Caenorhabditis elegans: one gene and its partner. The protein of the gene in region 2 purifies or fractionates together with the protein of the main gene of each other region. This does not show direct contact. Each region holds a gene or a part of one and is shown on either strand. Other genes may lie near its edges.

The links.
Region 1: the proteins of lect-2 (region 2) and sax-7 purify together in Caenorhabditis elegans (affinity purification with western blotting; 2 studies listed by BioGRID). This does not show direct contact.

What each region holds. Positions count from the first base shown.
Region 1 is NC_003282.8:8,060,948-8,065,822, reverse strand, and holds the start of sax-7 (Neuroglian), read right to left. Parts: upstream 3,165-4,875; 5' UTR 3,092-3,164; coding exon 3,043-3,091; intron 2,723-3,042; coding exon 2,545-2,722; intron 2,209-2,544; coding exon 2,132-2,208; intron 1,794-2,131; coding exon 1,501-1,793; intron 1-1,500.
Region 2 is NC_003280.10:5,788,884-5,795,032, reverse strand, and holds lect-2 (Leukocyte cell-derived chemotaxin-2 homolog), read right to left. Parts: upstream 4,311-6,149; 5' UTR 4,297-4,310; coding exon 4,245-4,296; intron 3,786-4,244; coding exon 3,680-3,785; intron 3,676-3,679; exon of another isoform or gene 3,592-3,675; coding exon of another isoform or gene 3,128-3,591; intron 2,604-3,127; coding exon of another isoform or gene 2,507-2,603; exon of another isoform or gene 2,443-2,506; intron 2,236-2,442; coding exon 2,069-2,235; intron 2,019-2,068; coding exon 1,827-2,018; intron 1,778-1,826; coding exon 1,705-1,777; intron 1,411-1,704; coding exon 1,077-1,410; intron 842-1,076; coding exon 758-841; 3' UTR 631-757; downstream 1-630. Other genes in the region: acdh-8 (medium-chain acyl-CoA dehydrogenase), read right to left, coding at 1-211, 409-478; K05F1.14 (uncharacterized protein), read left to right, coding at 2,507-2,603, 3,128-3,591; K05F1.13 (C2H2-type domain-containing protein), read right to left, coding at 4,905-5,093, 5,140-5,205, 5,251-5,310, 5,390-5,567, 5,776-5,861. UniProt on the Caenorhabditis elegans protein: Muscle-derived dendritic guidance cue, which is required for the formation of somatosensory dendritic arbors which extend from PVD and FLP sensory neurons during development.

The DNA of each region.
Region 1 (4,875 bases), on a different chromosome or scaffold from region 2:
TTTGGTACCGTATTTTTGGCTAAAAAATCGCAAAGTTTTGCGTATTAATTTTTGCGTACCATATTTCCGTTTAAGATTTTTATTTGATTGTTCAAAAATAAATTATTTTTATTATTCAAAGTTCAGGCGGTGAGTTTCGTAAAAGTGCAAGACTAATATAAAAACTATTTTTAAAAGCATACAAAAACAACTGCTTTTTGATTCGCTAAAAAAGTAAGCTTTTTCATCATTTAAAACAAAAAAATGGAGACAATTGAAAGGTCTCGTCAAAAAATTTCAATCAAATTAAGACGACAAAACCACCACTTAACAGCAGCTAATCTGTTTTTTCTTCGTTTCTCTCATTCCCGTTCTCTCCTCTCCAAATAGGTTCACACCAGTATCATCATCTTCGTTCATATTATGTGAGGCCACTTTTCACAATGTGTGAATGGAGGATAAAGCTCAAAGGGTTACTTCTTAGGAGCAGCTAATGTCTTTCTATCCACTTCAAAATATTCTCATTTCAACTGGTTAAACTTCAGAAGGTCATTTCTCATCCTTCAACCTCCGGGGGTATGTCTAACTAATTGCGATGGAGACGTAATAACAACGGAAAAAATGTTGCAAACTACTGAATTACGCAACGGAAAAATGGTGGCGGAAAGGTACAAATAGAAGTGGACAGGTGTTGTTGTAACGCAAAAAAAAACTTATTCATCTGATGGAGACGTCGGGAAAAGGGTCTGTATTATAGGGGTTACAATAGAATTTGGACATAGAATATAATAATAGTGAGAAGGGCGATGTATATTGGTATGATGTATGAATAGAAGGCAAGAATCGACAGAAGGACCTAATTGTTAGTACGTACACTAGAAACAGATACCAACTTAACAACAGGAAATTTTAGCATAAAAATGCCAAATGTAAAAATATAATTTGATTGCATATTTGTCGGATAAATTATCAATTCGTCGAAATAAGTGTTTAAAGCTGACCATCATATGCTATATTTTCAAACGTACTTTTCGTGAGAACGAAACAAAAATGCTTTAGATGTTGTCAAAAAAAATCAATTTGGCTTGGGAAAATGGGAAAGTAGTTTTCGAATTGGCTTTAAAAACGAGAATCGTCGAAATCATCCACGAGTTACAATTTCAAAATATAGAATCGAAACACTTTAAAAACTTCTGTTTGATTTGATTTTAATTGAAAAAAAATACATGGAAATTGAAGTTTTCTTTAGTATTTGAAGATTGGAACGAGCAGCAAATTTGAAACTTAATCGCAGAGATTATTCGTCTAGTTATTTTTTTTTCGAAAAATTGAATACGATACAGCCAGAAGCACTGAATAGTTTTTTCTTCAATCTTTCTCCAAAAATCGTTCAATTCTATGAAAATTGTTTGATTTTGGTTTACAAAGAACAGGGAGTGAATGAGAAAAGTTTTCTTGGCACAATGAGGTTACGAGAAACGATCTGTAAAAAGAATGAAAAAAAAAACTGTTATCACTCACTTGTTCATTGCTAGAAATATGACTACTACTGATAGTTTCGAAATGTCCCGGTTCTTTTCCCATAAGAATCCAATAAACTCTTGCGTATGGATTACTAGCAGGTGGAGAACAATTTCTTTGGTACGGATCTCCAACTTCGACAACTACAACTTCTGGTTCCGCAGTTTTGAAATGACGAATCCATGTTTCTTGTACACGGACAGGACGATCAACAGCTGTTCCATTCGAATTTTCAGCTTCACATTGATATAATCCGGCATCAGATTCATCAAGACGGGAGAACACAAGGCTTCCTGGAAAATGTCATATTTATTTCAGAACAGGTTTTCTGAAAAACCGAACTTTTTTTTAATGAGAAATCAATATTTCTCGGTTTTTAGGCCTAACCGAAAATTTCGATTTTTTTTGGATTTGAGGAAAAACTGTTTTCCTGTTTTTCCTGCATGTGGGAGTTTTATAATTGCACAAAAATAAAACAAATTTGTTTATATTTAAATGAAGTGAACTTTTTTCAAATCAGAATAATAATTTGAAACAAACATTTAACTATTCAGTTACTCCATCTTTTTAATTTCAAAAATGTTCCATATTCTCTCAATTTTAGATTTTTACAACAACAAAAAATATTCACCTTCTCCTGGTTTCTGAACAACTTTCTCCGGAAACATGGACGGCAGGAACGTCTTACCATCCTTTTTCCAACGATATCTGTAATAAAGAAAATAGTATAAAAAACATATTTTGAACACTTTTTAATTCTGGAAGTTGAAAAATAAAAATGCAAATGGAAACTGTTCGTAGAGCATAATGTTGAATTTTCAAATTTTTTAATGCTCCACCAAAACTGCCAAAAGGATTTTAAAGCAATTTTAGAAGCAGTAAAAAGACTTCGAATTTTTTTTCAAATTTAGATAGAAACTACCGTATCTTTCCCAATTAGTATTGCATGCAAGTCTAATTTTCAATAAAAATTATTTTAAGATATTTGAAGATTCATTTTTTTTTCTAAATTTTACTTTTTCAGAAACATTACAAAAAACTTACGAAGGCCTTGGATTTCCATTTGCATAGCAATGAATCGTTTGTTCGAGCAGATTACCGGGCGTATTTTTCGCCGATTCATCACTCATTCCACTTTTTTCGACTTTAAAGTAAACGGTATCTGCATTCTTATCGTGAACAAATTGTGGAGGAGTTTCGATCGCTGACCAATCTATGCTGCCTGAAACAGTTTTTATTAGAAATGTTGCTACATATATATGGATATTTGACAATTGTTTCTGTTATAGAAATATTTGTTTTTTGTTCATAAATTTGAGCACATCAAATGCTTTTCAGCGTTTTTCTCAATATTATTTATTTACAATTTTTTTCTATAAAAAGGCTTTGAATATCTTGATTCCATATTTATTTTCATTTTTGCCATTAAAAAACAACAAAAAAGGGCGTAAAATGATGTTGCAATCAAATATGTCAACATGAATCGCCAATCAAACAATTTTCGAAGCGATATGATGTCCTCGACGTCAAAAGAATTCTCACCTGATGATATGTGGCCAGTGAGTAACAAGAGGAATATGAAGCTCCTCATGATGGTGGTCTTTCGACGTGATCTAGAATCGCGTCGAACTTCGTTCGATACTCTTTTTCTATCCTGAAATTGGAATAAAGCTTGCGAAGAATTTTGAGAGAAGTTCGGAGAAAAAACAACGAGAAATGAAAAAAAAGGAAACGTTAAGAATTAAACAAACATGAATTAGTTTGAAAAAATAGAATCTTCCCTCAATTTTCAAGAAAATAATTGTACTACTACTTGTGCAAATGAAACTATTCTCGTACAAAATCTGATTCATCTTTAAAATTTCGAAAATTGGGATTACATTAAAACCGGAAAATAAACGAAAGACTTTAAAATCAGAAGAATGAAATAAAGAACTTCTTATTTTGTCTAGGTTTCTCCTTTTCCCGATTATGCAAATGAAAAAAAGCGAGAATTCATGGGAATCTACCCCGCTGACCGAAAAGTGACCATGAGGAAGCACGTTGGATTAACGATGAGAATAAGAAATTAAATCTGTTGTTTGATTCATTACGAAAATAAAATTAAGAGAAAAAAGTTTCGAAAATTATCAACAAAAAAAGTTATTTTTAAAAAAGTACAGACAAAAACATAAGGTGGAAAAAATGGAATGCAAGATGAGAAAAGAAGGGCATGAGGAGAAGTCAACGGGGGTGATAGATGTATTCGTTGACAGTCCACACACACACACACACACACACACACAGAACCGACGCAATCTGCGCATGGCGGTAGCCGATGGCATTGTACTTTACCGGTTGTCTCGTTTTTTTTTGCAATCAGAACGAGAGCTGCTCCATTCTTCAGAAGCGGCCGTTCTTCAAGGACGTTTTCAGGAAAGAAAAGGAAAAAAGAAAAATGCGTTCGCGTCACGCTACTCGATTTTTGTTGCTCAAAATGTTCTACGCACGAGATGTCACCTATGAGACGTATGGATGCGTGGGTAAAAGAATAACAAGACTTCAAAGATTCTGGGCCACAAATCATTTACGACAGAAAATAGGTGATTTTTATCCGAAAAAAGCTAAATTTTCAACACAGCGCGTCTGAAACATTCAAAACGGGAACATGATCAGGTTTTTAACGGAAAATGTGATTTAAACGTTATTTCGAATCGAAAACGACTTTCAGATGTTTTAATTTACTTTTAGACTAATAAATTTTGTAGTTTTACAAGTAAAAACACTAGAAAAACAGAGAAAATTCAGAGTTTTCGTTAAAAATCGTTTTGGCGGCGAAACAAAACAAATGCAAGTACTGTAGCAAAGGCGCGCAACAGAGCGCACATGCTCGGGTCTCGAAACGATTGCAAAATTTCTGGTCTACCTTTCGATCAAGCCTAGTTTCTCTATTGAATTATTCGTTTTTTCTTTGGATAACGCGATTTAAAAATTTTTTTTAAAAAAATTATTTCTAAAATAAAAAAATACAATTCAGTTTCATCGACTTGGAGACATGAAATTTTTGATGCGAAAAAAAAACCTGTGACACCACAGACTATATACTTCCGGAGCATTGTGCTAAGTCGATCGGACAGATTTCTCGAAATCCTTTCGTCCGCATTACTCTCTATATGTCACGGAAGAAGGTCGTAAAATGAGTGTGTCTCTGAGCCAAAAGAGGTCTGGTTATTTCTCCAAATTCATAAAATTTGGATTTGGCAGTTCACTCTCTTTTCCTCATTATTCATAACACATCAATCTTGCTTTCATGAACACCGCCACGATGAGCAGATCAAGCAGAACATAGAGAGTAGCTTCAACAGCAGTGAACATCAAAAAGAATGAATTATTAAA
Region 2 (6,149 bases):
TCCACAATCAGGGCGGTATCCAAATTGGATAATCCTGGTCCACCGTACTTCTCCGGAATAATTGTGTTCATGAATCCCAGCGAGTGAGCCTGTTTCACGATTTCCCATGGAAACTCTCCACTTTTATCGAATTTTGCAGCATTTGGCACAAGAACGTCCTTCGAAAATTTTATAGCATGGGACTGAATTTCCTTTTGAGTGTCGGACAGTTCTGAAATTAAACAATTGATTTATTTATTTGATACATTTTTGGAACGTCGTATTATTTAGCTTAGACTATGAAAATATTCCTTCAAGTCAAGTCAAAGTCAGTCAATTGTCAACTGGCATATAACATACTCAAAAACATTGACAAAGCAAGTAAAAATCTTTACAACTGCATTTGGGTAAACATTTCTTTAAACTAACCAAATGACATTTGTCGGCTTTGAACGGCAATCCGATTCCAGGTGGTTCCAGATGAAAGACGAGTGAGCATGTCCACACAATGATTATTGCACTTTTGACAGCAACAACTTTGATGAATAAAATCAAAGACAATCGATTGATTTTCATCCAAGGGTCATTCAACGTGGATGAGTAGGGACAATTTATATTTTTAAAATTGTTTTTCAAGTTTTACGTAAAGAATTTTTGTTTTAAAATTTTTAACAAATTTATTTAAACTAATTGCAAGTAATGACGATCAAAGAAATAACAGAACAAGAGAATTCAGAAAGCAATTGTGAGACATTTTCAGAGATTAGTAAGGAACTGTTTAGAATACTGGAAAGTTCGGAGTTTTACAGTTGGCAGCGGTTATGATATCAGTAATATTGACTACTCGGCCTTCGAAGCGAATCTGAAAAATTAAAGATGAAAACGGAAACTCCATGTGAATATTTCTGAAGGATATACTCCTTGAAGACAAAAAACTTCACTGGTTTCAAGAGACATGAGCTTTTAGCTTACTTATCATTTGCCATCAAAAGCAAAAAACCTTTGACAAATAGAAATTAGAACCTGATTTTTAAAATTTTCTTGAAGATCAGAAAAAAGTGCAATCGCATATTCTGATCTTTAAAAAAAACTGTTACCTCTACAAACACACTGTCCGGACTATTTTCACATGCCAGCCGAGTTGCAATCGGCTCTCCTTGAATAATTCGTTTTCTTCCAAATCCGATGTCTGCTCGAGCCTTCACATTGTACAGCCTTGCCTCAAATCCGAGCCAATCATCAATTCCAACAATGAAAATTCCATCATTATCACATCCGGTGTAAGCTCCATTTGAGTCAGTGAAAAGACGAATTCTTCCAACGATTTCTCCAGCAATTGGTGAATAGATCATTGGTGCACGTGGTGAATCTTCATCATCATCATCAATCATTTGACATTCAACATCCCAACCACGAACTCCGTTGTAACGTCTGAAATTAATTGTTCAATGCATAGCTGTTTCTGTTAAAAACGCCCCTATTAGTATTGCAAGTTGTTTTGCGGTACCCAATTATTAGAGTATATAGTACGTATATGTATTGTTATTTTCTGGTACTTTGTCACTGGTTTATTTGGCTTGAAAACATAAATTTGCTACACAAGTTGGTAAAAAATTTGGCAAAAATTGAGAGAGAATTTGAAAAAAAAAATTGGTTTTGGCAGCGGGAAAAATTTAGCCCATGCAATTCTTCCATAATATATTAAAATCTAAAACAAGTGCTTACTTGTCAGTTTTAAAAGGGTCACCAAGGAGCACATTTCTAGTGTTTGATTCACAGATCTGACCAGTACACATGCCTGAAAATATGTTAGTAATTCTAAATAACCTGATCTTGACAAAAATTACAATTTTGAAGATGATGAGTCGGATCGATAAGTCTTCCTTCTTTGTACAACCGAATCTCAACATGAGGCTCGACATCATTTTGTCCTCTGTCATTGAAACAATATCGATTCAAAGCTTCTCCAATCTCATCTCCAGCTTCAACATGCCCTCCGAAAAAGGACAATTTAACAGAAGATATGTGCACTGCGTAGCCTTAAATTTAAAAAAATCAATAGTTTTATATTTGAAGTTCCAAAACGTACCCTGCCACTGCCCGGTTCCCTCAATTCTCACTCCTTGGTCGGCGCATGATTTCTCACGTTTACCTCCATATGGTCTCCAAAAGTACATTTCTCCTTCAATTGGAGCATAAATTGGCTCTCCGAGATGACATCGAACATCCACTCCATCGATTATTTCTCCTGATGTTCTGAAAAAATAAGTTGTCACTATTATAACATACATTTAGCAAAACTCTAGAAATAAATAAAAAATTGTATAATTTCAAAACTAGACATTTTAATATTAAAACCAGTGTTGTCTCGTTTCAAAAGCCATGTGTCATATCATCCGTTGTTTTTTTTTGAAAAGTGAGTTAGAATGTGTGTGATATCATCACTTTATCTCTGTTTCTTCTCATTTTCTCTTTTCCGCGGCTCAAAAGATCTGTGAGCTCACTTTTCGTGTTTTTCTTCAAAAGAATGAAACGACCGACTGCTACTGTTTCCAAGTTGGAAATTTCTGAATTTCGATTGTTGATCTATATTTTGTATGGAAATTTCGATAAAGCGTTTCAAGGTTTGTTTCGGTTATAACAAAATTGAATTCTTGAAATTCATAAAATTCCAGCATTGAGTTTTTAAAATAAAACAAAATTTGAGTGAAGTACAATATTAGTTTTGCATCTTGTCTGGATTGGGTATCTGGTTTTTTTAAAATTCATAACAATGATAAACTGGTTAGAATAAGTTGATCTATTTTCAAGATTTTTGTTTCTCAAAACTTTTTAAAATCACAACTGGAAGTAGAAAATTAATTGGAAAAATACGGAAATTAAGTTTTTCAGTAAATTTAAATTTTTAGAATCTCCTTTTTCATTTAAAGTTACTCTGGATCTTCTAGAAATCTATTATTTTTTATATGAGAAGTAAATATGTATTATAGCGGTCATTTAGTGTTGGAGTACTGGTATTCAATTTATAATATTCAAAAATGCTCTCAAAAATATTTTGTATTGCAATTTCAGTTTTAAATCTCATTTGAAAACTGCTACACCAATTTTCAAAAATCAAGGAAAAATGAAAGAAAAATTAAATTTCCAGATACACCACTGCTTCAAAGATGTGCAGTTATCGATCGATTGTTAATTTATCTTTTTCAACATTCTGTATTAATTTCAATATTTCAACTTTTCATTCACTATACTTTATTTCAAAATTCTGATTTTCTAGCCAATGTTCCTGACGACAAATGGCCATTCTTAGCAGTGTTAGCCCTTTTTCTTGAAATTTATTCAATTCGATGTTTAAATTTGAAATTATTTACTCAAACGTTAGTTTTCAGTTTGTTATCTCCTCTATTTCATTTATTTTTTGCTGGTTTTTACAATGATCTCGTAAACGGAGCAACTATAACTATTAAATTAGGAGCCCTTACAGTTTTAGGTATTATTTTATTTTTACTTGCAACATTTCTTCGATGTATTGTTATTTCAAGTGAATCTCAGCTTGTAAGGAGTCGTGAAAGATGTACAAAAGAAATTGATCACGCTATTTTCTATGTCTGAATTCATTACTATTGAAAAATAACTTCTTATGTTTTCACTTATATACAAAGTTTCTTTACAAAAAAATTAGTATAAAAAAGTTTCTCACCTCTCTGTATGATAATTACCGCAGGATCCATCAGTGTCCGGGCAGCGACGAAAATCGTTTTTTGCATTGTTTCCACAAACTTTTTTCATACATCCCAATGTCTGACCTGTAAATTAAAAATAATTAAAAGTTGATCAACTTCTTGTGCTGAAAATTTAGTGTTTGGTGCAATTAAATAAAGCCTTCAAGGCAACTTACGACTATCTTGAACCTACACGCTTGCCTGTTGCAAAGTGCAAGTGAACTTTCAGAATGTGAAAATTGGAGTAGCACCAGCGGCAAGTATTTAATATCTTATACGTCTTTAAAATAACTAATTTTTTTTTGAAGTCGACCAAAAATATACTGTTTTGATTATTTTATTCAAACACTACATGGATTCAAATCTGCGAGTATTCGCTCAATTTCTCAAAATTCCCCAATAGGTTATGAAGTTGGAAATTTGCCAACACTTGACTTACTATTAAAATTTTGAAAAATCTTAAAAAATAACTTTGAAACATTGTTTGCTTAAAACTTGTTTTAAAAAAACTCCGCTGCAATGATCAAAATATGTTTAACTCACCTCCTATGAATATCCCAATAAGTATTAGAAAATGCAAGGTTCTCAGATGCATTTGACTGCAAAAAAAGCCACTTAGGAGACTTTAAAAAGAAAAAAAAACACAACAAAAAAGAGAAGAAGGTGGAGAGAGAAAGTAATAAATAAAACGGAAAGCTCAGTTTGATGATTGCAGGCAAAAAAAGAAGAAATGTTCTTCCTTACTTTTCATCAACCCAAATCATCGAATGGCATGTCAAAAGAACGTCCTGAAGACACAGAGCACAGACAACTGACTCTTGTTTCATCTGCGTCTCTATCTTATCTGCGCTTGATCTCAGATCGATGTTAGTTATTGTGTTGTTGTTCAGGGTGTACTCACCAATAAATGCAATAATGGGGGGCACACTGGGTGAATGTGAGAAAGAGTGCTCACAGAGCAGCAAGTCGTATAGTTTTATGGGACTATAGAGGTATTACGTCTACTCAATAGGTCAACTTGATTTTTTCTGAAGAGTCACATACAGGAGATAATTATGATCTAAAAAACCTTAATTTATATAAAAACCCTCCAAAATATGTCCAATTTTAACAACAACTATTAATTTCGCAACAAATATCAAATACTTCGGCTGAAATATATTTTTTAACTTTATGTAAAAAAGTAAAAAAAAAATTAAGATCCTATTCTTCTTTCACACTCCCTCCTCCAAAATGTTCTTCCATCGTAAACCTAATAGGTTCTCGAAGCACGAAAAAATCCCTCGGAGTGGTTTTTTTCGGTTTCAATTTTCCATTTTCTATGCAGATATTTTTTTGCAGCTTCTGAGTCCGATGTGTATGATTTGCCAATTTTGTGTTATTCGAGAAACCCTGAACATATACAGTTCTTCGTCGATTACTTTGTATTCCAAACTACCTGATCACAAATTTTGCAATGAAAGTGTGCTTTCTTTTTGAGCTTGCAGAACGGACGAGAACAGGACTGAAATTTTAAAAATGAAATAGTTGTTGTAAACCTGAAAACTACATCAAGCCGTTTGGGAAGGGAAGTGATTGGACAACAATGGAGACCAACAATTTCAAATCCCTGTAAACTATGAATTATTGATCAGTGTCACAGAAGCTTTCCAGACTTCAAAAATTATTCTGAAAGAGAATAGTCATACCGTTTGACATTTGGCACAGTGCCAATGAGAACTGTTTCGGTTAAACTGACACCTGTCAGATCCACATGAGACGTCGATATGATAGAATATTCGGTCGTCAGGAATTTCAGAGTTTTTTAAATGGAACACGGAAAGATGATTTGATATCAAAAGAGCATCATTTGATGCAAAGTTACACCTGCAATAAAATATTATTTATTAAATGATTACCGTCTTCTGAAGAGCTACGCCCTGGATTTTACAAGATTTTTGTGCATTATTTTTCTATTCCTAATGGCAATCTCTTAAAAATAGGGCTTGTCCCCTCCACCGCCCAAACCTAAGCCTAAGCCGAAGCCTAAGCATAAGCTTAATCCTAAAAATTTTAACAATTTTTGGAACTGTACCGTTTGTGTCCGCAGTGTAGATGAGCTATTCCATGATATTTGCACAGATCATCATCGCAATCAAATTTAAAATAGTTTATTGACATCAGTATGAAAAAAAAAGGAAATTTCTCAGAATCCTAAAATTTAAGAAAAATGACAAAGCTGTGAAAAATGAATGTTGAAAATAGAAGAGGTTGTCAAGGATTGGTTTTCGTGGTCGTCATGTCTACGAGTTCACCAAGACGACTGTTTGGGCAAAAAAATACGGAAGAGTGAAAAACTAGAAAATAGGAAGGGAATAGTTATGAATTGTAGATGATGGATTGGTTGCCATAGATACACCTTCGTTGTTTATTGTGTAACATCATGTTTATTTAATTATTTTCAGACCA